4 linked regions of the Macaca mulatta genome follow. The protein of the gene in region 2 interacts with the protein of the main gene of each other region in a biochemical or structural test. Links are inferred from orthologs where the notes say so. Each region holds a gene or a part of one and is shown on either strand. Other genes may lie near its edges.

Region 1 (6,112 bases), on a different chromosome or scaffold from region 2:
TTTGATCTCTAGTTCTCTCCTTCCTCAGCAGACCAACTCTCACTCTGAGTACAAGATGGGCAGAGGATGACTGCCCCAGAGTTCCCAAGTCACTGGCAAAACTGCCCCTCTTCCTGGGTCCCATGCCAAATTTCCAGGGAAGGAATTTGATTGGCTAGCCTGGGTCAGGTGGTCAGTCTTGATCCAAGGTGATTGGATCATTTTGAACAAATATGGCAGATGGAGACCACAAGGGTAGATCATGGGACAGTCAAGGCCATCATTGTTAGGACAGTTAATGGCTGAGGCTGCTCTCTCCTGCATATCCCAAGACTCCCTGGTAGACCACAGAATCGGCCGCCTCCTACTTCCTGCCATTCTCGAGGAGGGGAGGCAGGCACCCTACTGAGTCCAGAGCTCTCTCTAACATTGCCATGCCCAGGCCAGGATCTAGATGGGCATCCAAGACCAGCCTGTGTGCCGTGAAGGAGCTCAAAGTGAGCAGGCCATCCCTGAGAACGAGGAGCAGGGGTGGCAGGAAAGTTTGGATGATCTGAAGATGGCCTGGTTCTCCGTGAACTCTGGGAGGAGAAGATGGTGTTTGGTAATGGGGACTGCATGTGAAGGGCTGGAGGGCCAGTCCACAGCAGACTGGGCCCCCACTGGGCAAAGCTGCAGGGTGGAGGTCACGGGGGGAGGGCCAGGGTCACACTGCACCTTGCTTTGGCGCAGCTCCCACCTCTGAGGGTCCGCAGACTGGTGCTTCACATGTTCTGGTTGTTCCGAGGGTTCCACAAGTTTATTTTGTGTTATATTATTAATTTAAATCACTTTTGTAGAACATTATAGAAATAAAAAAAAGCACAAAGAAGAAAACAAAAGTCACTCATAAACTAAGCATTGTAGTCATCTTTGGATATATCCTTTTTTAAAATAAATTTGGGGGGAGGGGGCAAAAATTGGATAATTCGAAATAAACTCTCTGGAAACCTGCCTTTCTCACCCCAAAACAAGGTGCTCTTTCTCGTGTTCTTACGTGGCCTATTTGTAACATTTCCACGAGTTTGGATGGAGGATGGAGAAAAGTCTCAGCAGCCCCTCTGTTGGTTTCTCTTCTCCTCTGATAAAATTATAGAATGTCTTCTCCACGCTGCCCTCATCCCACCCCCACAGCTGTCCTGAGGGCAGCAGGCCCCACTCCTGCATGTTCCCAGCACCCCGAGGGCCAGTGCCATGCTGCATGGACTCGCTGCGGCCACCCTGGCTGGGGATGCTCTGCGGGACACACGCACAGCCCGGACGACCTGGCAGGCTTCCTGCACCCCCGCTGCCCTCTGTAGGAGCTGCCTGCCTGCCCCACCGCTGCTTCGCCATCCCTCCTCTCCTTCCCTTCTCTGTTTTGCAGGCTCTCACCCAGAGTGGCAGAAGGAGCCCTTCTGGAGCTGACCCACCCCCGACAACCATCAGGTAACATCAACAGCCACAGTAACAACATCCATGAGTGGAGTTCTCCCTCTTAACCAGGCTGACGAAAAGCACTCTTGCAGCGATTACGGCTGAGTTTTGATGCAACTCTACAAGCCAGAGGGGATTGCCCCCATTTTATACTTGAGGAAACTGAGCACAAACAAGAGCAGTACTTAATAGTATTGAGTAGTAGTACTGAGCAGTAGTACTCAGCTGGTAGAAGGCAGACTGGAGATTTGAACTCAGGACTGCTCTCAGCCCAGTTTCCTCCACTGTACTGTACCCCATGCTGCCCCTGGAAATAAAAAGGTAAGAAGGCTTCAGGGTGTCAGTAGAATATCTTGCGGTGACTGAAGGCTGAAAGAGGTCCTCTAAACCAGTGGTCCTTAGCTGAGGGCCAGGGCTGGGCTGCCAGTATAAGAATCTCCTTTAGCAGAGTTTGTTAGAAGTATAGACTCAGGACTTCCTGCAACCCAATGAGAGATGTACCAGTGTCATCCTCATTATAAAAGATAGGGGCACACAGAGGTTGAGTGTACTTAAAGTCATACAGCTCAAAAGTGGTAAAGTGGACTGTGATCAGAGGTTGTAACTCCTAGGCTCTGTTGTCTTCACTGGGACCCTCCATAGTGGGGCCACCTTTCTCCCCATTCAACCGTAGGTTGAACTTCTTTCTTGCTCGCCCTGGCCATGGCTAGTATGGCTGCAGAGTGGGACAAGGCTCCCAATTGCATCCTTGAAGGCAAAGTTAAAGATTTTATGATTAAATACTTAATATTTCATGTTGGAAGTTTGGTGGCCTCAGATTTCTCCTCTGAGCAGGACATACAACAGAGGGTTGGACACAGATGGCCGGAGTTGAAGCCAGGCCAGGAAACATCGCTGTGTCTTTGGAAACAAAAGTCACCTTCCTTCCTCCAGGAGCGAGGGTGGGCGAGAGGAAGAGCTTATAGAGAGCCTTTTCAAGCCCCTAGTTTGTTCATGGGTTATTTTGTTTTTGTCATTTTAGGGTGAGGCAACTCCAAGGTCATACTCTCTTTCTGTGCCTGTCACCCTACCCCTGTCCTCCTAGGGTGCCCTTGAGCCGCAAAACTGCTGTCCACGTGGACCGGGGCTGACATCGCACGTCCATCTGCCAGGACCCCTGCGTCCAAATTCCGAGACATGGCGACCAACGGCAGCAAGGTGGCTGATGGGCAGATCTCCACCGAGGTCAGCGAGGCCCCTGTGGCCAATGACAAGCCCAAAACCTTGGTGGTCAAGGTGCAGAAGAAGGCAGCGGACCTCCCTGACCGGGACACGTGGAAGGGCCGCTTCGACTTCCTCATGTCCTGTGTGGGCTATGCCATCGGCCTGGGCAACGTCTGGAGGTTCCCCTATCTCTGCGGGAAAAATGGTGGGGGTAGGTGCTGGCCTGGAGACCTCCTGGCTGGGTCTGGACCCTGCAAAAAGGATCCTGCTTAGGCATTTTTCTGGGGCAACTGTAGGAGAAAAGCTCCCCTAAAGACTCCAGAGGGAGCACCAGGCCCCATTTCTTGTTTCTTATCCCTTTATCAAAAGATTCCCGAAGGACGATTGTCCTCTGTTAATGATACCAAGAAGTTCATCTACTCACCTGCAAAAAATGGGATGTATTTCACGTAAGGCTGTCCTTGGGCCCGCAGTTGGCTGTGGGTCCTACTTTTGAGGCGGGTATAGAGAAATCCTGGATGGGGACCCAGAACCATGGCAATCCCTCTACCAGGGCAGGTCTTGAAAGTCTTGGGGCCACGAGCTCTGTCTTCTTTCCCCTGCAGGTGCCTTCCTGATCCCCTACTTCCTGACGCTCATCTTTGCGGGGGTCCCACTCTTCCTGCTGGAGTGCTCCCTGGGCCAGTACACCTCCATCGGGGGGCTGGGGGTATGGAAGCTGGCTCCTATGTTCAAGGGTAAGTCTGCAGAGCGGAGCCCTGGGTGGTGGTGCCCCTGCCCACACACACCCCTGCCCCTCTGGAGAGAGGGAGCTGTCTACCCAGACCAGGGTTGACATCACATATCCGTCCATCAGGTGTATGTCTGAGCAGAATGAGGGCTGTTGCAAGGGGCCAGGTGGCAGATGACAGTGCTGGTCAGAAACTAGGGAGATGGAGGTGGAGAAGCCCAATCCAGAATCTCCCGCACATCAGCCTGTTCTGTCCTGTTAGCCCATTCATTTCCCCTGCGAGAGCTGGGTGTGACTTGCTTTGCCTCGTGCTCAGTGGCTGACAGGCACCCAGGTAGATACTTGGTGAGTCATGCTTACTGACTGAGGGCCTGGGCCCCACCTCCTCTGGCAAGCTGAGACCCCAGCCCTGCCTGCCACCAGTCTGCACTGGGCCCCAGACATGAGTCCTGGGCCCTTGGCTTGCCAGATGTACATGACCTTCAGCAAGTCACTGCCTCTCTCTTAACCTCAGTGTCCTCAGTAATGCCTCTCTCTGAGATCGATAAGATTGTAGAGGTCATGGAACATGCCAGGACAGTTCATGTGAAGTCTGTATTAAATGGATGTGTGTCTGTGTTCTGCTCCCAGGCGTGGGCCTTGCGGCTGCGGTGCTGTCATTCTGGCTGAATATCTACTACATCGTCATCATCTCCTGGGCCATCTACTACCTGTACAATTCCTTCACCACGGTGAGTGGTCCCTTTGGCCACCCCCTCCAGCAGGAGCCACACCCAGAGCCCACCCTCCGCCTGCTGTGGCCACCACTCTGCTGACAAGGTCATTCCTCCAGGAGTGGGGAACTTGGTTTGTCTTTTATGGGCCTTGGTCTCCCCACAACAGCCATAGCCTCACGAATTTAGCATCTCCTGTGAGCCAGACACTCCTTGTAGGCTCACATCCAATCCTCATGACACCCCTCTAAAGTGCGTATTGTTAGTCCATTTTATATGGACACAGACAGCCTGGGTTCAACTCCTGACTCTACTATATACCAGCTGTGCAACTTCAGAAAAGAGACTTAACCTCTCTGAGTCTCAGTGCCCTCATTTACAAAATGGAAATAAAATTAGAATCTGCCCTAGTTCCTCAAAAAGTTAAACATAGAATTACCATATGATCCAGCAATTCTGCTTCTGAGTAGATACCTAAAGAATGAAAAGTAGGCTCTCAAAGAGATATTTGTACACTTCTGTTCACAGCAGCACTATTTACAGTAGCCAAAAGGTGGAAGCAAGCCAAGTGTTCATTGATAAATGAATTGGTAAGCAAAATATGGTCTATACATACAATGGAATGTAATTCAGCCTTTAAAAGGAAGGAAATTCTGGCACGTGCTTCAACATGGATGAACCTTGAGGATATTATGTCAAGTGAAATAAACCAGTCACAAAAATACAATCCTGTATGATCTTGCTTATATGAGTTTCCTAGAGTAGTCAAATTTATAGACACAGAAAGTAGAATGATGGTTGCCAGGGGTTGTGAGTAGGGGGATGAGGAGCTGTTGTTTAGTGGGTGGAGTTGCAGTTTTGCGAAATGAAAAAAGTTCTGGAGCTGGATGCTGACAATGTTAGGCAACACATTTCTCACAATGTATTCCCATTGTTAAGTGACACATGACTATATTTGCAGAGGTGCGGCAGGGCTAAGGGAGCTACATTATGGGTATACTTAATGCTTCTAAACTGTACACTCACCAACAGTTAAGATGGTAAATGTTATGTATAATTTTATCACAATTAAAAAATGAAAGAAAACAAAAAGTGAAACCCACCTCATAGGGTTCTCATGAGGATTAAGGAGCAGATATGTGTAAGGAACTTAGAACTGCGCCTGGCAGAGAACAAGCTCTGTAAGTGTTTGCAGGTGTCATCGCAGTGAGAGTTAGATGGGCAAGATCTGTTGCCCAAGATCACATGGTGGGGAAGTAGCCCCGGCTGCAGCTTGGAAGGCTCTTTTCATAGTGAACGGGTTGAGGTTCAAATCTCAGCCCTGGCACTTAGTAGCTGTGTATTCTCAAGCAAGTCACTGTCCCTCTCTGATCTGTCAAATGGGGATCATAATGCTACTTACCTCCCAGAGCTGCTGGGAAAGGGAGGTGTGAGGAGGCTTGGGGACCATGAGGGTGGGCAGGGTGCACTGGGACCACTCATGCCAGCCCCTGGGAGCCCAGCGGGATGTGTCCTCATGACTGTGTCCTTGCAGACACTGCCGTGGAAACAGTGTGACAACCCCTGGAACACGGACCGCTGCTTCTCCAACTACAGCATGGTCAACACCACCAACATGACCAGCGCTGTGGTAGAGTTCTGGGAGTGAGTATGGGGCCGCCAGGGGATGGCAGGGACAGGGAATGTCAGCCAGGGGCTACGGTCATGTGTCACATGACATCTTGGTCATCAGCGGACCACATATACAATGATGGTCCCATAAGATTATAATACCATATTTTACTTTACCTTTTCTACATCTAGACATGTCTAGTACAGAAATGCATTGTGTTACAGTTGCCTACAATATTCAGTACAGTCATGTGCTGTATAGCTTTGTGGCCTAGCAGCAATAGGCCACACCATATGGTGTAGGAGTATAGCAGGCTACACCATCTAGATTTGTGTAAGTACACGCTATGATATGCACACAACAACAAAATTGCCTAACAACACATTTCTCAGAACATATCCCCGTTGTTAAGTGACACAT
Region 2 (5,584 bases):
CCAACCTGGCTGGGTGCTGTGGCTCACATCTATGATCCCAGCACTTTGGGAGGCTGAGGTGGGAGGATCACTTGAGCCCAGGAGTTCCGAGACCAGCCTGGGCAACACAGCAAGATCCCATCTTTTGCTAAAAAAAAAAAAAAAAAACAACCCAAATCCCCTCCAATCTAGAAGAGACTGCAAATTCCTCAGCACACTGCCTGCCAAGGCCCCGTCCACCTCGTCTCCAGCTTCATCTCAATTCCGACCACTCCTTGTGCCCCAGCACCATGGACCTCCTTTTTCTGTTCCTGAAATAAGTCTGGGTCTTGCTGGGCTTGGGACCTTAGTGTTGCTGGGGCCAGCTCTTCATCTTCCACTGTGAAGTCTTCACAGCTGGCTCCTTTTCACCGTTTTCTGGCATCAGTTCAAATGCCCCTTCCTGAGAGGCCTTCCTTGACCACTCACTCCAACAAAGGCAGCCGCCCCATCGTGGGCACAGTGTTACTCCGAGTGTAACTTTGGAACCATAGTGGCTGCGGCACCACCCTTGAGCTTGTCAGACAGGTATCTTCCCGGCCTTCCCTCACCTGCCAGACTCTGGGACAGGGACCTGGAAACTTATAAGTCCTCCAGGTGACTCATTCAAGTTTGAGCCCCACTGAAGAACCTTCCATTTGTTCTTTGGCAGCCCTTTTGCCCAAAAGCTATTCACTCCAGGAAGCAGGTCCCTCAGCTGTCCTGGTCACTGGGGAAATGCATGGCCCACAGTGGCCCCATGAGGAAACAGTAGGGGAATGAGAGATGACGGGGTGTAGGGGGTGGGGCCATGCAGGGCCTGGGGTCCTTGAAGGTCAAGCAGAGCCATGCAGAGGACAGGGACCTTCAGGTGGGCAGGGTCCTGGCGGCAGTTTCAACAGCGGGTGATTGGTTACCTGAGAACTTGGTCTCTCCCCGGCAGGGCAGCGTGTCGGGCAGAAAGGGTGAGGTTAGTGCAGCCCTGGGTGCTGGTGTGGGCTGCAGTGGAGGGCAGGGGGCCCAGCGCTCACCTGGCTCTCCACAAGCATGGCCATGTCCATGAACATGTCGTGCAGCTCACGGATGCTGTTCTCCAGCTTGATGATCTCGCTGTGCCGCGTCTCAATTTCGCTCAGAGCCTGCTTTGAGATGCTGGAGTCCATGATGATCTGGGGGTGGGAGCAGGGGGCTGGGACCCAGAGGCTTGCTGAGGGGCAGGGCAGAGGGCCGACGGGGAGGGCAGAGCTGCTCCGGAAGGGGACCCGAGGCTTCCTCCCCAGCCACAGCCCTGCCTGCCTTGCTACCTGGCTCTGCCACCTGCTAGCTGTTATGTAATTTCTCTGCGACCCAATCTCCTACCTGTAACCTGCGGCTAGTGACACTCTCCACCTGTGCTGGCCACAGAGCGAGTGCTCAGTGACAGTCCTTACCACCAGCGTTTTGCAGAGCCTAAGTTGACTGCCCCGTGGACCCAGGCCTGGAACTGCCTTTCTCCCATCCCTTCCCCCCACACTGAATGTGACTGCTCCCCCGCTCTCTCCTGGAACTCACAACCCCAAGCCTGCCTCGAACACCTATGTGCCACCTCCTTCAGGGAGCACCCCTGCCCGGCTTCACGTGAACACGGAGATGGCCAAATGTCCTCCAGAAGGGGAAAAGGGCCCACGGATAAGAGGAGAAGCCCCTGGCGGCCGGCGAAAGGAAGTGGGTCCAATTGGGAGGCATCAGGAGACAGGGGTCTTGAGTCCACCTTTGCCACAGACATTTATGTGACCTCAGCCTTGTGTTTTCCCCTCTCTGGGACTCCTCCTGCCTTAAAACCTGCCTTACAAGGGGTCTGTGTCCACATACTGTCCAGACCCTGCACTAGGGGTCATGAACGTGGGTAACATGGTGAGGGGATCATGGCAGGAGGGGTGGGGCCCACACTCACCCCAGATGCAAAGATGGCGGGGTTCCCACTCTCCAGCATGTCCTCCAGCTCCTCACTGGTCGTGGTCCTGCCGGCTGCAAGCGAGTGGGGTCACACTGAGCCCAGCCCTCTCCGGGGAGTTCAGCAGCAGCCTCGGGCCCCGCCCCCTACAGTCCCAGGCCCGGGCTCCCCCCAGCCCCGAGATCAGCAGCAGCCTCAGGCCCCCGCCTCTCCAGCCCCTAACTCAGCGGCTGCCTCGGGCCCCGCCCCTCGGGCCTCTAACTAAGCAGCAGCCTCGGGCCCCGCCCCTCCACGCCTCGCCCACTCCAGGTACCGCCCCCAGCTCACTGAGGCAGCCCCAGGCCCCGCCCCCAGCTCACTGATCTCCAGCTGCCTCTGGATACGGCCCTTGCAGCGCTCGCGGTAGTCGGACTGCGTGGCGTTGTACTCCGACATGACCTCCACAAACTTTCTGGACAGCGTGGAGTGCTGGGGGCCCGAGATGCAGGTGCAGGGATCAGGCCCCGCGGGGACCGACCCAGAGTCTCAGGTGCCCGCCCACCCTAGACTCCCGACCGCACCTGTGTCTTCCGGATCCTCAGGTCAGCAGAGGAGCGGTTCAGGCCTTCCTCTTGCTCGATGGACTGCTCGATGCCTGGGGGCACAGGTGGGTGCTGAGTCAAAACCAGCCCCCTTTACCCCCGCCCCCGACCCGCACATCCTGCATCTGTTCACCTCCCCACATCTCCTAGGGTATGTGTGTGGCCTGTGGCTGGTGGGGTCAGTGCCAGGCACTGATGGAGGAGGGGCCTACAGAGGCCCTTCCAGCTGTGACGTTGTGTGGTGTGTGCACGTGTGTAAATGCACACCCACTCCAAGCTCTGAGTGTGTGTGAGGTCTGGCAGCTCCGGCCACTCTGTGCCTGGGTACCGCTCCCTTTCTGCTCAGAGAGGCTGTGTACGAGGGGCCGTGCCCACAGCGGGGAGAGCCAGGGGGCCCCTGCTGCAGGGCATGTGGCCCCGAGGCCTTGGCACTCACGGGGTGTACGTGTCCGTTCACCCAGCATACGGGGCTTCTGCATGAGACCAGGAAGTGCTGGCCACTTCTTTAACCCTCTTTAGCAGAGGTGAGGGGCAGTGCCCGTCCAGAGTGGAGCCCTCCCTCGACAAAGCCTCGGGCGGGTGTGTCCCCAGGCCCAACCCAGAGCCTGGCACCAACGGGCCTTGCCAAGTAGCTGTTGAGTGAATGGGCACATGACGCCACCCTCAGAAAGGAAAGCAAGATCCGGCGCACCCCCTCAGGGTGAGCAAAACCCCATGGGCTCCCCAGAGGAAGCAGGCCTAGAATGCCCCCCACCCACCCCCAGACAAGCCTGACTCACTCTTTAACTTGGAACGAACTTTGTTTGCTGTCTTCTTTATGTCGGACATGAGTTCTTCCAGCTCCTCCTTCGTCTCTGGGGAGGTAGAAAGGGTGGGGGCGGCCCCCTAGGCTCTGCCGGGGACTGATGTGCAGACTCAGCCTCCAGCACAGGGGGCCCAATGGGGGCTCTGGGTAGATCCCGGTTCTCCCCTGCTCCCCTGGCTAAGGCTCTGCCTGCCCCCTCCCTAATTCTGGGCCAGGGATGCACCAGCTGCAGCCTCACCCCCTCTTGTGCTGTCTTCGGAGGAGCCTCCCTTCCTCCTTTGCCGGCGCCCCCACCCCCTGGAGATAACAGATGGGTCTAAATTTAAGGCAGAAATAATTGTGGAGCAGCTGGCGATGCTGGAGTTGGCACCAGGAACAGTGACTTGATGCTTGCTGTAGTTGAAGTTGGGGGGGGGGGCGCGGTGCGGGCTCACCTGGTGTTACCTGGTGGCTCAGGAGGGTAGGCAGCCAGCCAGGGAGCTGACAGGGGGCCATCCTGCACTCCCTGAGTCGCAGGCTCAAACACTCTGGGTGGGGCAGACCTTGCCGTTCCCACAAAGCTGCGCCTCCCGGGGTGCTAAGTGCCCGGTGGGTGGAAGGGGGCAAGGGGTGGATGGCCTGGGTGGGCGCTGATGTGGGCCCTGAGGTCCAAAGAGGTGGGCATAGTCGGCCCTGGCCGTGGCAGGTAGCTGGGGCCCTGGTGAAATTGGAGGAGGGTGGTGGCATAGTGTTTTGTGACCCTTGTTCCAACTAGAACCATCTCCCTAAAGCTGGCAGAGGTCATGGGGGTGCCCAGCTTGCCCCCCTGCCTGAGAGGAGCTGGCTGGAAAAGTGGGGCATGACAGCTGCCTCCCCTGGGGGTGCTCCTGGCAACACCCCAGTCTCAGGACACCCCCAGGACTCCGCCCCAGGAGAAGCTGGGACTGAGCTCCGGCTGTCACCTTCCCACCCACCCCTCTGCTTGCCTCTGGGGCTGGGGTTTGTCCTAGAGGGGACAGGGAGGGGTATCGAGAGTGGCTATTAGGAAAGCCCCAGATGGGGTCACCTCCCAAGTGGAATGCGGTGGGGTGGAGCGGGGAAGTGGGGGTTCCGAGGCGCGGAGGAGGGCGCCTCATCCGTAGGAACAAAGGAAAAGTCGGTTACCAGCTGCTCTGACGTCTCAGCCTCTTTTGCTCAGACCCAAAATAGCCCAGGCCGGATGGCAGCCCCCAGAGGAGGCAGAGCCCGCCTTGCCCAGGAGAGCCCCCCACTCACTGCCATCTTTCCTCGAGACTTCTTAACTCTGTACCACCTGTGCCCTAGAACCCCCAACATGAGCCCCCTCCCCTTAGCAAGAGCCTGGGACTGCTCAGCTCACGGGTGGTGACTCAGAACCAGTCCCTATGACTGTGCATGACACCGCAGCAGGAGACGGTGCAGGAGGTGGCCTGCACGACCCAAGGTGTGGAGGAGACAGCTCTGCTGCCCCATGCCCACCCCACCTGCCAGCAGCGAGAGGCCCGCTCCCCTGCTCTTCAGAGCCCTCCGTCCCACCCCACAGTCAGCCACCTCCTGACCCTGAGCAGGAACAGCCCACACAGGGACACACGGTGACCCAGATACCTCTGGGCGCAGAGACATCCGTCTCATGCTGCCATCCAACAAATCTCTAGGGCGAGGAGCGCAGCATGGTGAACCCTGGGCGTCCCTCTCTCCTCCTGCCCTTCCTGAGGCAGTCCACCCTGCTCCCACCTGACCCATTTTGCCTTCTGAGGGCGGGGCACTGGCTTAGTTGGTGTAGCATTGACCTGGGTTCATGCACAATTTGGGGCTGTGGAAAGATTTACTCTGGGTTCTTGAAGATGCCAGTGGGCTTGGGGGTGAGGGGTCCCAGACCGGGAGGCCGTGCTGGAGGCGAGAAAATCTGACCTCGGGCACCTGCGTGGCCAGGGCCTGCCTCCCTCAAACACCTGATGGCTGCATCCCTGGGACTCAGGGTGAGCCCCACTCCAGGGAAGGGCACCTATGCCATCAGCCTGGCACCTCTCAGTGTAGTAACCAACATCTCAACAGGAACGCGAGGACCGGGTTGGGGGAACCTGTCTGGGGCCGGAGCGCAAGCCTGACACACAGGCTCCCAGTGCGGAGGGAGAGGGCTGACTTCCTAGAGCCCTGAGAATGCCCGCCCCGGGGTGCCACGTGGCCAGGTGCCAGGGCTGCCAGCTCCTTCCGGAAGCTCTGCCTGCTTGGCCAGCTTGCCCTCCCACAGCGCTGACGCCTCAGAGCTGC
Region 3 (6,244 bases), on a different chromosome or scaffold from region 2:
GCATTATCTTTATATATATATGTGTATATATATCTATATCACATAGTACTTCTTTGAAATAATGACTTTAAAATGTAAGTAAAATGCCTGGCACATGTTTAACTCAAATGCAGATTCCCTCGCTCCTTCTCAGGAACCAGAAAAATCTAAAATGCAAAGAGGTAAAGCTCCTCCCTTATCCCTTATTTCTTTTCTTTCTTTTCTTCCTTTTTTTTTTTTTTTTGGACAATAATAATGTCTATTGAGATCATCTAGTGACTTTGTTTTTCTATTTATCACCAACACATTACTCATTAATATGTAGGAAGTAGATATCCTACAGATGGATGAATTCAAATCTTATTAAGTTTAAAAATAAGAATATATTTCGGTTAAGTATGTTTCAAAGTCACAGTAAAAGAAAACACATTTCAATATAAAAATAGAAAGTGAGCAGTCTGTACTGCTCTCACTAAAAAATTATCTTGAAAAAAATCTTTTGAAGTATTTGAAAAAAATGCTTGATAAAACTAATATAGTTCATACATAACCAGGAAAATTCTTTCTATACTAGTAGTTTAATGTATAGTAACCTAACAGTTTTTACAAATACATAACAAATGTAGACTATGAGAGAAAAAATATATCAAGAAAATAAATTTAACCCTATGCATTTTTCAAGAAAATGCTCTAAAAAATGGTAGAAGTATTAACCATTTATAACTTTATAGAAAATTAATTTGCTGCATTTATCTTCTGCTAATTATTTTTCTACACGGACATGTCAAAAACAACCAAATTCAGATTCAAATCCAATCTCCAATTTATTAGAATAGGTCATAAGTTCAATATCTACCATGCATAATATTTTTTAAATTGTCTTTAAATCTCATCCTTAACATACCCCATTCATCAGACCAATAGTATAAGCAGATATATTTTTCCTCATAAACTTCTATCTCCTTACAAATAAAATAGTTATTATAACAAAACTTTAGACCTCTCTTTGGATATATGTTTAGCTACTATAAACGAAGAGCTGAGAAACATCACAGCAGTATATAAGCTGAATTATAATCAAGGGAAAAGCCAACACATGATTTCTCATAGTATATATCTGATCACACCAACAGGAAAATAAAAATTTTCTTTGGAACTAATCCTCAGAAGGACTGGGGAGAAGTTAAAAAAGTAGAAGTTAAAAAATAAAATTAAAAAAAGGATACAGCCTTAAAGCACCAGTCTGAGTTCCCACCGCCAGGATCTTCTGTACAGGATCAAAGGCCAGGGCTGAGGGTTGATAGGGAAATCCATGGCGAACAGTCTAGGGATGGGCAAGTGACATCACAGCAACCAAGGCAGCAAGCGAAATTTAAAAATAGAAAAGTCAACAGAGGCGTTAGAATTTAGAACCACTACCACTGATGCAAAACACATACACATGCACTTACTGCTTTTAAAAAAAATAAGTGAAACCTACACTCACAAAGTCACTCACATAGAACCTGAAACAAAAACCTAGTCCAGCGATATACTTTAATTTCGCTTTTCCATACTGGTATTCCATAGAAGAAAATATTTTATTAATATTCCATACTATTACATCGACACCAAATGACTAAAGTTTGCAATAGTACAAAATTCTGTAAACCCATTAAATGCAATTCATACTTTATTTTGGCAGTATTCATTTCATCATTATTTTATTTGGATGCTAACGCAAGTACTTCTAAGGAAAAGCTGTCATATAATTACTTTAGTCAAGCATTCAGTAGAGCAATAATCAAACCTCTATCTCAACATTTTACACTTGTAACAGAACGAAGATGAGTACAACATATATTTTTGCAATTTACTATTAAGGCCATAATCATTTTAGGGCATTAGACATACACACACACACACACACACACACACACACACACACTTTTAAGAAACTCTGACATACAAATACATAGCTATTTAAGAGAAAGGCAGGTATTAATACCGAGACAAGTTTGTGTTTCTTATTAAGCAGCTGGTGAATTAATTCGCTGCATCATTCTTTCTGAATTACAGAACGCTATGGCAATCATCGTGCCATTAACAGGCAAAAATCTCAGTACTAACTTTTTAACAAACAATGATAAAAAGAACCCTACGATTTCATATCGTAAGCCACTCACCACATTTTAAGGGAAAAGTGATGAGCAAAGGTGTGGTAGAACAGGTTTGGCTTTTTGATAAACAACATTCATTAGACACCGTTTCCAAAGGAAACTTCGAAGTTGGTGAATCATATTAAAACGCTTGAATATAAAAGCTTCCAGGTTATTACTGGCAGTGTCAGAATACAAATTAAGGGTCGGATAATAGTTTGAAGCAACCTTGAACTGACTGCTGCATGTGCAAAGGGAAGAGAGAAAAATCAACGAGAAGGAGTAAAGGTATCAATCTCCAAAATAACCCACCGAAGAAAGGTTTGCCAGGGGAGGAGCGAGCATTTTATTAGAGTTATTATTATTACTGGCGTTCTCTTCCCTTGCATTCCCATGTAAAGCCCGAGTAGCCCCCTTAAAACAACCCCAATTTTTCAATGACGGCGTCGCGGGGCTGCGCGCTCCGTTCACCTTGCAGAGCTGAAAGTGCTCGGACTGGAGCGTTTCCTGGATCTCCGGCTCCCGGTTCCCAGGCGGATGCTGCTGCTGCTGCTGCTGCTGCGACGCCGAGGACGAGCTGGCGGTCAGGCCGTCCAGCACCTTCCTGATGTTGAATTTCCTCATGGTCTCGGAGGGGCTCCCCCGCAGCCCGGGAGGGGAGGCACGGGGGTCCCCAGACGGGGGAGACTACCCGGGGCCGAGGGCAGTTTCGACCGCGGAAACGAAGGAGTGGGAGTGTAAGGGCAAGGAGGCAGCTGGAGGGAAGCAAAAGATAATCCGAACAGGAAATACTGCGACGACAAGAGAGGCGGCCGCAAGAACCCCGGGCGGCGACCCCTCTTCCTCCGAGGCCGCCGCTGCTTGGCGCGGCTGCTGCGGCGCCGCTTCAGCCGCCGCCGCCGCCTCCTCGCTCCGCGGCCAGGCAGCAGCAGCAGTGGCGGCGGCGCCCGAGCCCGCTCAGCCCAGCCTCACCTGGCCGCGGGCGGACTCTGCGCCGCGCCGCCGCCCCGGCTCGCCCCCGCCGCCGCCACCGTCGCCGCCGCGTCCATGGCCCGCGGCCGCGCCGCTGCTCGCCTGCCCCGGCCCCGCAGTCCCTCGGGCGTCCTCCGGCTCCTTCTCCTCCTCCCGGGGGTCGCCGGCGCCCTGTCCGCGGCCGCCGCTCGGCCTCCCAGCCGCTGCCCGCCCGGCCTCGCACACTAGGCGCCTGGGGTGGGTCCCCGCGCCGCCTGCCTCGCTCCGCCTCGCTCCTCCGCCGCTGGACCGGCCCGCCCTCGCCGCTCCCGAGCCCGGCTGCGTTCCTCAGGCGCCGCCGCGGCAGTCGGCTCTCCCCGCCCAGCTGCTCCCCCTCGCCTGACAGGGCGCCTCGACACACGACACCAACGCCCGCCCCGAGCAGCAGCGGCAGCCGCGGTTACAGCGCGGGCCACGGCGGTGGCGGCAGCAGGGCCTCCCCAGAGCCGGGCTGCAGGACCTGCGCATGCGCGCCACAGCCCAGTTCCCCCACCCTGGCCCCGCAGGCCCCCAGCCCCCAGCGGGAGCGAAGCTGGGGCTTAAATTATCTGCGAAAATCCCAGACGCTGGCTAAATTTCTCCCACCCTAGTCGAGTTGCCAGAGTATGCAGCTGCTTCTCTTGCAGCTGGCATAGTAAAAATGTTGACGACTAACAAGCGGCATGAAACCTTTCTTTCCAATTCAGTCATTACAGCAGGGGTTGATGCTTTCTCCCCGTTAATGGGGTGCACGCTCCCGGCCGCTAGCTGCAGTATTATTGTTCTTGCTTTGACGGGCTTTGTTTTTGTTTGATTGGATTTGAGTTTTGAAAAAGAACGTCTAGACAACGATTATGTCAGTGGCAGGAGGATGATGGGCTTAGGTACTAGGAAAGGAGAAACCTAGACGGGAAAAAAACGGGTTCTTTCCTGCAGCTGCGACTGTTGGTGGAACGTGTCTGGCCTTAACAGGTACCTGCTGGGACGGAAGAGGCTGCCAGCGGGGAACGGCTCCAGTGCCGGTGTCAGCCCCGGCCGATGACACTACCCCGCACCCAGCCGCTCCCGGGGAGGAGCGCGGGTGGCAGGAAACGCCGCGCTGCCACTCTTGTTCAGAACCTTCAATCCGCCCTGACGCTGATTAGCCACTCAGTAATCTCCCGGGAGCTTCACTCTTGAACAGGGAAAGGGGGATACGATGAAGTTTTTGCTCAGATCTTTCCGCGGCCGCACTGCCCATCTCGCGTGGATGCTTGGAGACAAATGCCTGGCTCAAGTTGGCAATGACAGAGATTGTGCCGGGGAAACCTCCCGGAGAGTGCGTTCAACCGGACAGGTGGACGGAAGCACAGGTAGTTGATTAGAAGGATGTGGAAATAGGAAAGACGTAAGGAAGGAGGGAAGTGCAGGGAGACTAATCCTAATTCGGGGAGAGGGGTATAAGTTCCTAGCAAAGGACTCCTCGAGCGCTCTGGTCTGCGGAAAAGCCACGGAAGCGCTACAAAGGGTTTTTTTAAGTTCCAAACCAGTCAGAAGTACCCGCCCTCTTCTTTGTGATTGGCCGGCTCCCTCTCCTTTAGGGAAATTGTCGTCACCCTATTGGTTGATGTGACCAGCATTCAAAAGCAGCGAACCAACTACGACTGGACCCAGGGATTTCGGGAAATGTAGTCCACTCTGCAGCTTCCGCATCCCAGGACAATGTCTTACATTTGGAACGTACAAAATTTTGATTTGTCGTTTAATATTTATTGAATTAGTTGATTCACTGGGTGCAACGGCCAATAAAACAAATTTGAGAACATTCTTAAACTATTTCCAGGTGGCTCTGAATTTTTTGTCTAACATTTTGTTGTCAGGCGGTGTGCTAGGTACTAAAGACAGGAAAATGCAATTCTTGCTTTCAGCAAGCTCACCACAGTCTAATGAGACGACTTTTAACATAAATGGTAATTGTAAAACGATGTGATGAGTTCAATGATGGAATAATGAAGGAGGACGGCAGAGGGCCACTTAACTGACCAGGAAGGCTTGGACATGGTGACTCCCACTATAGATCATGTCAGATAAGGAGGAGCAGACCAAGCAAACAGAAGGCAAAGACCATTGGAAGACGATGGGGAGGAGAGCCTCAGAATTACCTTGAGAGCTTTTTTAAAATACATGTGACTCCACAGGGGAAAATTGCAAAGCAGACAGATGACAACCCCATAGAATTGTACAATCTGCCTTTTTACTTACCTAGGTCTAAAATCTATTGGATAATTTTTCATCATTGGATTATAAAACTTTTTGGAAAAAAAAGACAACTTCTTGTTGAGGGACCTTGTGGTATAGTGGGAAAATACAGGCTTTGTTGTTAGCTAGCCATGAACTTCAGTCCAGGCCATGGTAATATGTGTAATCTTGGGCAAATTTTTAAATTTTTCCAGGGATCAGATTCCTCAGGTTTAAAATGAGATTAACACCACCTTCTTCTTAGGAATTTATGAGAATGAACCGGAGGGGGAAAAGAAAGAATATGAAAAGTTTGTACTACATTGCTTAGTACTCTGTAGACACTCAAAAATGTCAGTTTCCTGTTCTACTATCAGGGTCCTTGAGGTAAAGGGGACCTCAGAAAGTCACGAATTTAAGCCAGTTTCCTACTTCTGACTCTAGAATTTTTGTTTTTATTTCTATACTCCTATCTTTTCCATCAACTTATGAACTCATTCTGACATTCTTAAAATTTCAGTTCTTAGTGGATACCTGGAATTTAAGATGAATATAGCTTACCTTTGTGAACTTGCAATCCATCCTCTCTATGCTCAGGGACACTGGGACTTTTCCAGAAATCCATATGGCCAAAACCAACAATGGCCCAAAATAACGACCTTTATTATAGCAAAGATAAAATAATCGATCCTCAAACTCACGGTAATTCTTATAAGTCAGTTAGAATGAATCAATTCGTTTTTCAAATTAGAACTGAAATTTTAAGAATTTTACTTGAAATTAATTAAACATTTTAAGTTTAGAATTTAATAAATTAAAAATAAATAATCTATATTACTCATTTTTAAGTTGAGCACAAAACGGAGAATTTTACCCAGCATAATTTCTCAGAAAAGTTGTGTTTATTTGTTTTATTTGAA
Region 4 (6,348 bases), on a different chromosome or scaffold from region 2:
GTAAGACCTCTCTCTCTCTCACTCTCTCTGTTTTTTATATATATACATATATATATATATAATATGTGTGTGTGTGTGTCTGTGTGTGTGTTTAACACCACTGCTGGACACGATGCTAGCAGTACCCACCCCTGTTTCCCTGTCATCACAATAAAGCGTCTCCAGACATTGCCAAATATCCCCTGGAGGACAAAATCATCCCTGGTTGAGAACCACGGAATTATATCAATGACCATCACAACCCTAAATGAACTAATTAACTCAACTGTACATTTTCTCCACCTCTGCCCTCAAAAAGTGACTGCTGCTTGAGAAAATTACACAGGAGGGCAGAAAATGGTGAATTCATTTTTGCCCATATTAAAAAGGACCTCAGTATTGCTTATCAGTCCTACAACATTTTTCTGTCAACTTGTTGTATTACTTTCTACAATATTCCCAATCTTCTCAACTTTCCTTTAAACTCCCAATACCACTTCCTTTTCTATCGGAAGATGACCCCATCTCCAACTTCACAGAGAAAACAAGTTAGCAAATGAGAACTTTTAACTTCCTGTTACTAAACATACAGAAACATACTTCCTGTCATAACTGGGGAGATATCTCCTCTATCTCTCTTTCTCCCCTCCCTCCTCTCTTCCAAAACCATTCCTCTCACCAGTGTTTTGAATTGCCTCTAAACTGCCTCTATTCTTACCCTTTCACCATCTTTGCCTACTGACTGTCCCTTCTCTTCCTTTATTCAACCGTTTTTTTTCCTCAGTTGAATCTTCCCTACCATACTCAAGTTTCTCCTGTCTTAATTCTAACAAAAAAAAACAAAAACAAAAAACCAATAACAAAAAATCTTGATCCTTCATCATTCTCCCTCCTTCCTCCCTGTCAAGGCCAAACTTTCCAAAAGCATTCTACAACTTGTCCCCATCTCTACATCTCCCCCGTCTCCAAACTAATAAGTTGTTTTTTTCAACCCCAGCATTCCACCAAACAGCTTTCACTGACATAATCAGTGACCTCTGTGTTATGAAATTTAAAAAAAACATTTCTCAGGCTTCATCTTCCTTGATCCCTTAGGAACCGACAGACTATTTCCTCCTTGAAGCACTGTTTTTTTGTTTGTTTTTTTTGTGTGTTTTGAGAGGGAGTCTGGCACTGTCGCCAGACAGTGATAGACATTATGATAGTAACGTAGCTGGGATTACAGGCGCCTGCCACCACACCCAGCTATTTTTTCTTTTTTTTTTTTTTTTTTGTCGGGGGTGGGGGGCAGACGGAGTTTTGCTCTTGTTGCCCAGGCTGGAGTGCAATGCGTGATCTTGGCCCACTGCAACCTCCGCCTCCTGGGTTCAGGCGATTCTCCTGCCTCAGCCTCCCGACTAGCTGGAATTACAGGCGTCTGCCACCACACCCGGCTAATTTAAAATATAAAAATATAAACATACAAAATATAAAAATACAAAATTTATATATATATATATATATATATATATATTTTTTTTTTTTTTGAGACAGAGTCTTGCTCTATCGCCCAGGCTGGAGTGCAGTGGCTCGAGCTCGGCTCACTGCAAGCTCCGCCTCCTGGGTTCAGGCCATTCTCCTGCCTCAGCCTCCCGAGTAGCTGTGACTACAGGCGCCCGCCACCACGCCACCACGCCCGGCTAATTTTTTTGTATTTTTAGTAGAGACGGGGTTTCACCGTGTTAAGCAGGATGGTCTCGATCTCCTGACCTCGCGATCCGCCCGCCTCGGCCTCCCAAAGTGCTGGGATTACAGGCGTGAGCCACCACGCCCGGCCATATTTTGTATTTTTAGTAGAGACGGGGGTTTCTCTATTTTTGCTAGGCTGGTCTCAAACTCCTGACCTCGTGATCTGCCCGCTTCAGCCTCCCAAAGTGCTGGGATTGATTACAGGTGTGAGCCACTGTGCCTGGTGAAGCACTTTATTTTCTTGATTTCCAGCAGTTTGTTTTATTCTTAGAGGTGCATGGAAGGGTTCCTGCAGCAAATAGTTTACAATAATCATCCATCTGCTTAAAACTCTTCAATAGTTTTCAGTGCCCATAGTACAAAGTGGTCTAAAATTCCAAGGCCTTCCAAAATCTAGCGATTGTCGGCCTTCTAAAGCTTTCTTCCCTCTACACTCTGGGATGTACGATTAGCACTAAGCCTCTTACAAGGATGAACTACTAGAAATTTCCAGAAGGCGTTATGCTGTTCTCGACATAAGCTGTTTCCCAGAGCCTGGAAAACTCTAGCTCTTTCTCTGCCGGATTTCCGGGGGAACTCCTACTTATCCTTCAGGACTCAAGTCACTTCCTCCGGGAACCCTTCCAGACACCCCTAAGAATAAAACGCTTTGTTCATTATCAGCCAAAGGCGCCTCAGATTTTCTATGTGCTATGCACTGTATTCTATTCACTATAAATTTGTTTACATATCTATATCTTAGTCTAGACATATTGAAAGACGCTGAAGGGCAGGGAAAGCATTCTATTCGCTTTCTTTTCTTCATCGTTCATCCAGCACACTGCCTGGCACACGGTTTGCCCTCAGTAAATGTTTATTGCATGAACACCTCCCAGCTTCGGGCATGACCGGAATCTATCCGGTTAACTGGTGAATTCCCAGACTCTCCGCCTGCGTGGCAGGGACATTTAAACCCCCAGCACCGTGATTGGCTCCAGCTGCAAGGGTGTGTCCGTGTCCTCGGCGCACGGGATGTGCGCAGGCGCGCGGGCTCGGCGCGCGCAGGCGCGACTAGGGCGCCGCGCCAGGTCCGGTGTTGGGGTGTCCGAGCTGCGGCTGGAGAGGAGTGGCCTTACCCGCTTGGTGAGTCTCCAGGAGTGGGACGGAGGGAGCTGACCGGGATGAAGTCGGAGAGTATGTCCTGAGAAGAAAGAGTATATCGTATTGGTTGAAAAGTTGGTGGGGTCGGGCTTAAGCGGAGGAGGGGGCGCTCTGGCCCTTACTGGGCAAATGGGCCCGGAGCGAGGACGGGAGGTGCCGTGAGAACATCGAGGGGCCAGTGGAGGAAGGTGGCTGGATGGTGATTCTCTGGACCCTTCCTCGAAATTAAACAGAGATCACCTCCCGTCCCTCACCCCCACTGTGTTGCTGTGGTTGACATTAATAGACTGCATGTCTGGTGACCACGGTGACCAGATAGCTCTGAGATAATGGCTTGAGGAAGGACTCTCAGGTTCCTGGTATTGGATAGCACTTTCTCTGTAGAAAGGTTCAGCCTTACCTCGCGGCACAAATTAGAGGATCAGGAAAAGAATGAATTCCACAATTCGGGATTGTAGTGGTGGGGGGAAAAAGTACTGTAAAGTGCAGTTTCATCTCGTCCTTTTTTTCTTCTTTAATCATTAGTCACCACAATGTTAGGAAAGGCAGTTGATGGTAGGAGAAAACGTAAAGACATAAAAGTAGGGGAGAAAAAAAGTCAAGAAGGGAGTATCACTTTGCCTTTTGCTATTTGTCATCTCCTGGAATGGAGTCTGTATTAGTCCGATCTCACACTGCTATAAAGAAGTACCCGAGGCCGGGCTTGGTGGCTCATGCCTGTAATCCCAGCACTTTGGGAGGCCCAGGTGGGAAGATCACTTGAGATCAGGAGTTCGAGACCAGCCTGGCCAACATGATGAACTCCCATCTCTACTAAAAATACAAAAATTAGCCAGGCATGGTGGCATATGCTTGTAATCCCAGCTACTCCGGAGGCTGAGGCAGGAGAATTCCCTGAACCTGGGAAGCAGAGTTTGCAGTCAACTGAGATCATGCCACTGTGCTCCAGCCTGGGAGGCAGAGTCAGACTCCATCTCCAAAAGAAAAAGAAAAAGAAATACCTGAGACTGGGTAATTGATAAAGGAAAGACGTTTAATTGACTCTCAGTTCTGCATGGCTGGGGAGGCCTCAAGAAACTTATAATCGTGGTGGAAGGCAAAGGAGAAGCCAAGTACCTTCTTCACAAGATGGCAGGAGAGACAGAGTGAAGGGGAAAGAGCCCCTTATAAAACCAGTATCATGAGAACAGCATGGGGGAAACCACCTCCATAATTTAATCACCTCCCACCAGATTCGAGATGAGGTTATGGGTAGCCAAACCATATCATTCTGCCCCTGGCCCCTTTCTTTCTTTCTTTCTTTCTTTTTTTTTTTTTTGTTTTTGAGACAGAGTCACCCAGGCTGGAGCGCAGTGGCGCTATGTCGGCTCACTACAACCTCCAACACTTCAGCCATCCTCCTGCCTCACCCTCCTGAATAGAGACTACAGATGCATTCCACCAAACCTGCCTTTTTTTTTTTTTTTTTTTTTTTTGAGATGGGGTCTTGCTCTGTTGCTCAGATTGGAGTGCAGTGGCATGATCTCCGCTCACTGCAACCTCCATCTCCCAGGGTCAAGCAGTTCTCCTGCATCAGCCTCCCAAGTAGCTGGGATTACAGGCGCCTGCCACCACACCTGGCTAATTTTTGTATTTTTAGTAGAGATGGGGTTTGGCCATGTTGGCCAGGCTGGTCTTGAACTCCCGACCTCAGGTTATCCACTGGCTTCCACCTCCCAAAGTGCTGGGATTACAGGCGTGAGCCACCGCACCTGGCTAATTTTTGTATTTTTTAGTAGAGACGGGATTTCACTATATTGGCCAGGCTGGTCTTGAACTCCTGACCTCATGATCCACCCGCCTCGTCCTCCCAAGGTTCTGGGATTACAGACGTGAGCCACCACTCCCGGCTCCCCTGGCGCTTTTCTAATCTCATGTCCTCACAGTTCAAAACACAATCATGCCTTCCCAACAGGCCTCCAAAGTCTTAACTCATTCCAGTATTAACCCAAAAGTCCAAGTCCAAAGTCTCATCTGAGACAAGGCAAGTCCCTTTTGCCTAGGAGCCTGTAAAATCAAAAGCAAGTTAGTTACTTCTAAGATGCTATGGGGGAATAGGCATTGGTAAATGCTCCCATTCCAAATGGGAGAAATTGGACAAAACAAAGGGGTTACTGGCCCTATACAAGTCCAAAATCCAGTGGGACAGTCATTCCATCTTAAAGCTTATTTTAATCTCCTTTGACTCCATGTCTCACATCCAGGGCATGCTGATGCAAAGAGTGGGCTCCCAAGGGCTTGAGCAGTTCCGACCCTGTGGCTTTGCAGGGTTCAGGCCCAGAGGCTGCTCTCCTGGGCTGGCATTCAGTGCCTGCGGCTTTTCCAGGTGTATGGTGCAAGCTGTTTGTAGACCTGCCATTCTGGAGTCTGGAGGATGGTGGCCATCTTCTCACAGCTCCACTAGGCAGTGCCCCAGTGGGGACTCTGGGGGGGCTCCAACCCCATGTTTCCTTTCTGCAACACCCTAGCAGAGGTTCTCCTTGAGGTCTCTTCCCCTGCAGCAGACTTTGGCCTGGACATCCAGGGATTTCCATACATCTTCTGAAATCTAGACAGAGGTTCCCAAACCTCAATTCTTGACTTCTGTGCACCTGCAGCCCCAGCATCACGTGCAAGCTACCAAGGTTTTGGGGCTTGCAGCCTCTGAAGCAACAGCCCAAGCTGTACCTTGGTCCCTTTTAGCCATGAGCTGGAGCAGCTGGGACTCAGGGCCCCAAGTCCTGAGGCTGCCCACGAAACCATTTTTTCTTCCTAGGCCTCAGGTCCTGTGATAGGAGGGGCTACTATGAAGATCTCTGACATGCCCTGGATACATTTTTCCCATTGTTTTTGTGATTAACATTCAACTCCTTGTTACTTATGCAAATTTATGCAGCTGGCTTAAATTGCTTCATAAATTATTCAGTGGTCTCAACTCACTGAGATCACTGAGTGATCTCAGGAAAATAAAGAAATATTAGCAAATAAGAGAAACACCTTACATTGCCATACTCCTTTGACAGGTCATGTGAAAGTAATTTAAGTGATCATGTAACTTAGCCTGCAGTTTGAATATTTGTCTTGGTAGGTTTTTCTTTAGGTGCTTGTAGTATGTGTTTATGCACTAGAAAGTTGGTGTTGTTATAGTTCCAGCATAAGGATGACTTACTGTGCCATTATTTTCCTAACAATATTATACCATTTCATATAAACAGTGGAATTCCTATATATATCTTGATGTTTGTTTCTTATATGAACTTAGATACACTACACAAGCTCACTTAACTAAAGGTCACATCTTTTCTTTTTTTTTTGTTTTGAGACGGAGTTTTGCTCTTATTGCCCAGGCTGGAGTGCAATGGCACGATCTCGGGTCACCTCAATCTCTGCCTCCCGGCTTCAAGTGATTCTTCTGCCTCAGCCTCCCGAGTAGCTGGGATTACAGGCATATGCCACCACACCTGGCTAATTTTGTATTTTTAG

The links. The genes of interacting proteins can lie anywhere in the genome.
Region 1: the proteins of STX1A (region 2) and SLC6A1 form a complex in vitro, tested with the Homo sapiens proteins (2 studies listed by BioGRID). The link is inferred for Macaca mulatta from reciprocal best matches to the Homo sapiens genes STX1A and SLC6A1.
Region 3: the proteins of STX1A (region 2) and STXBP5 form a complex in vitro, tested with the Homo sapiens proteins (2 studies listed by BioGRID). The link is inferred for Macaca mulatta from reciprocal best matches to the Homo sapiens genes STX1A and STXBP5.
Region 4: the proteins of STX1A (region 2) and SNAP23 form a complex in vitro, tested with the Homo sapiens proteins (3 studies listed by BioGRID). The link is inferred for Macaca mulatta from reciprocal best matches to the Homo sapiens genes STX1A and SNAP23.

Annotation. Positions count from the first base shown.
Region 1 is NC_133407.1:149,875,930-149,882,041, forward strand, and holds the start of SLC6A1 (sodium- and chloride-dependent GABA transporter 1), read left to right. Parts: upstream 1-2,516; 5' UTR 2,517-2,610; coding exon 2,611-2,848; exon of another isoform or gene 2,849-2,879; intron 2,880-3,190; exon of another isoform or gene 3,191-3,242; coding exon 3,243-3,374; exon of another isoform or gene 3,375-3,405; intron 3,406-3,923; exon of another isoform or gene 3,924-3,972; coding exon of another isoform or gene 3,973-3,997; coding exon 3,998-4,098; intron 4,099-5,614; coding exon 5,615-5,724; intron 5,725-6,112. UniProt on the Homo sapiens protein: Mediates transport of gamma-aminobutyric acid (GABA) together with sodium and chloride and is responsible for the reuptake of GABA from the synapse. The translocation of GABA, however, may also occur in the reverse direction leading to the release of GABA.
Region 2 is NC_133408.1:51,196,761-51,202,344, forward strand, and holds part of STX1A (syntaxin-1A), read right to left. Parts: intron 3,366-5,584; coding exon 3,291-3,365; intron 2,565-3,290; coding exon 2,491-2,564; intron 2,399-2,490; coding exon 2,290-2,398; intron 2,005-2,289; coding exon 1,931-2,004; exon of another isoform or gene 1,888-1,930; intron 1,243-1,887; exon of another isoform or gene 1,167-1,242; coding exon 1,029-1,166; intron 1-1,028. UniProt on the Homo sapiens protein: Plays an essential role in hormone and neurotransmitter calcium-dependent exocytosis and endocytosis.
Region 3 is NC_133409.1:65,645,858-65,652,101, reverse strand, and holds the start of STXBP5 (syntaxin-binding protein 5), read right to left. Parts: upstream 3,597-6,244; 5' UTR 2,742-3,596; coding exon 2,589-2,741; intron 1,304-2,588; coding exon 1,206-1,303; intron 1-1,205. UniProt on the Homo sapiens protein: Plays a regulatory role in calcium-dependent exocytosis and neurotransmitter release. Inhibits membrane fusion between transport vesicles and the plasma membrane.
Region 4 is NC_133412.1:19,898,507-19,904,854, forward strand, and holds the start of SNAP23 (synaptosomal-associated protein 23), read left to right. Parts: upstream 1-2,752; 5' UTR 2,753-2,829; exon of another isoform or gene 2,830-2,880; intron 2,881-6,348. UniProt on the Homo sapiens protein: Essential component of the high affinity receptor for the general membrane fusion machinery and an important regulator of transport vesicle docking and fusion.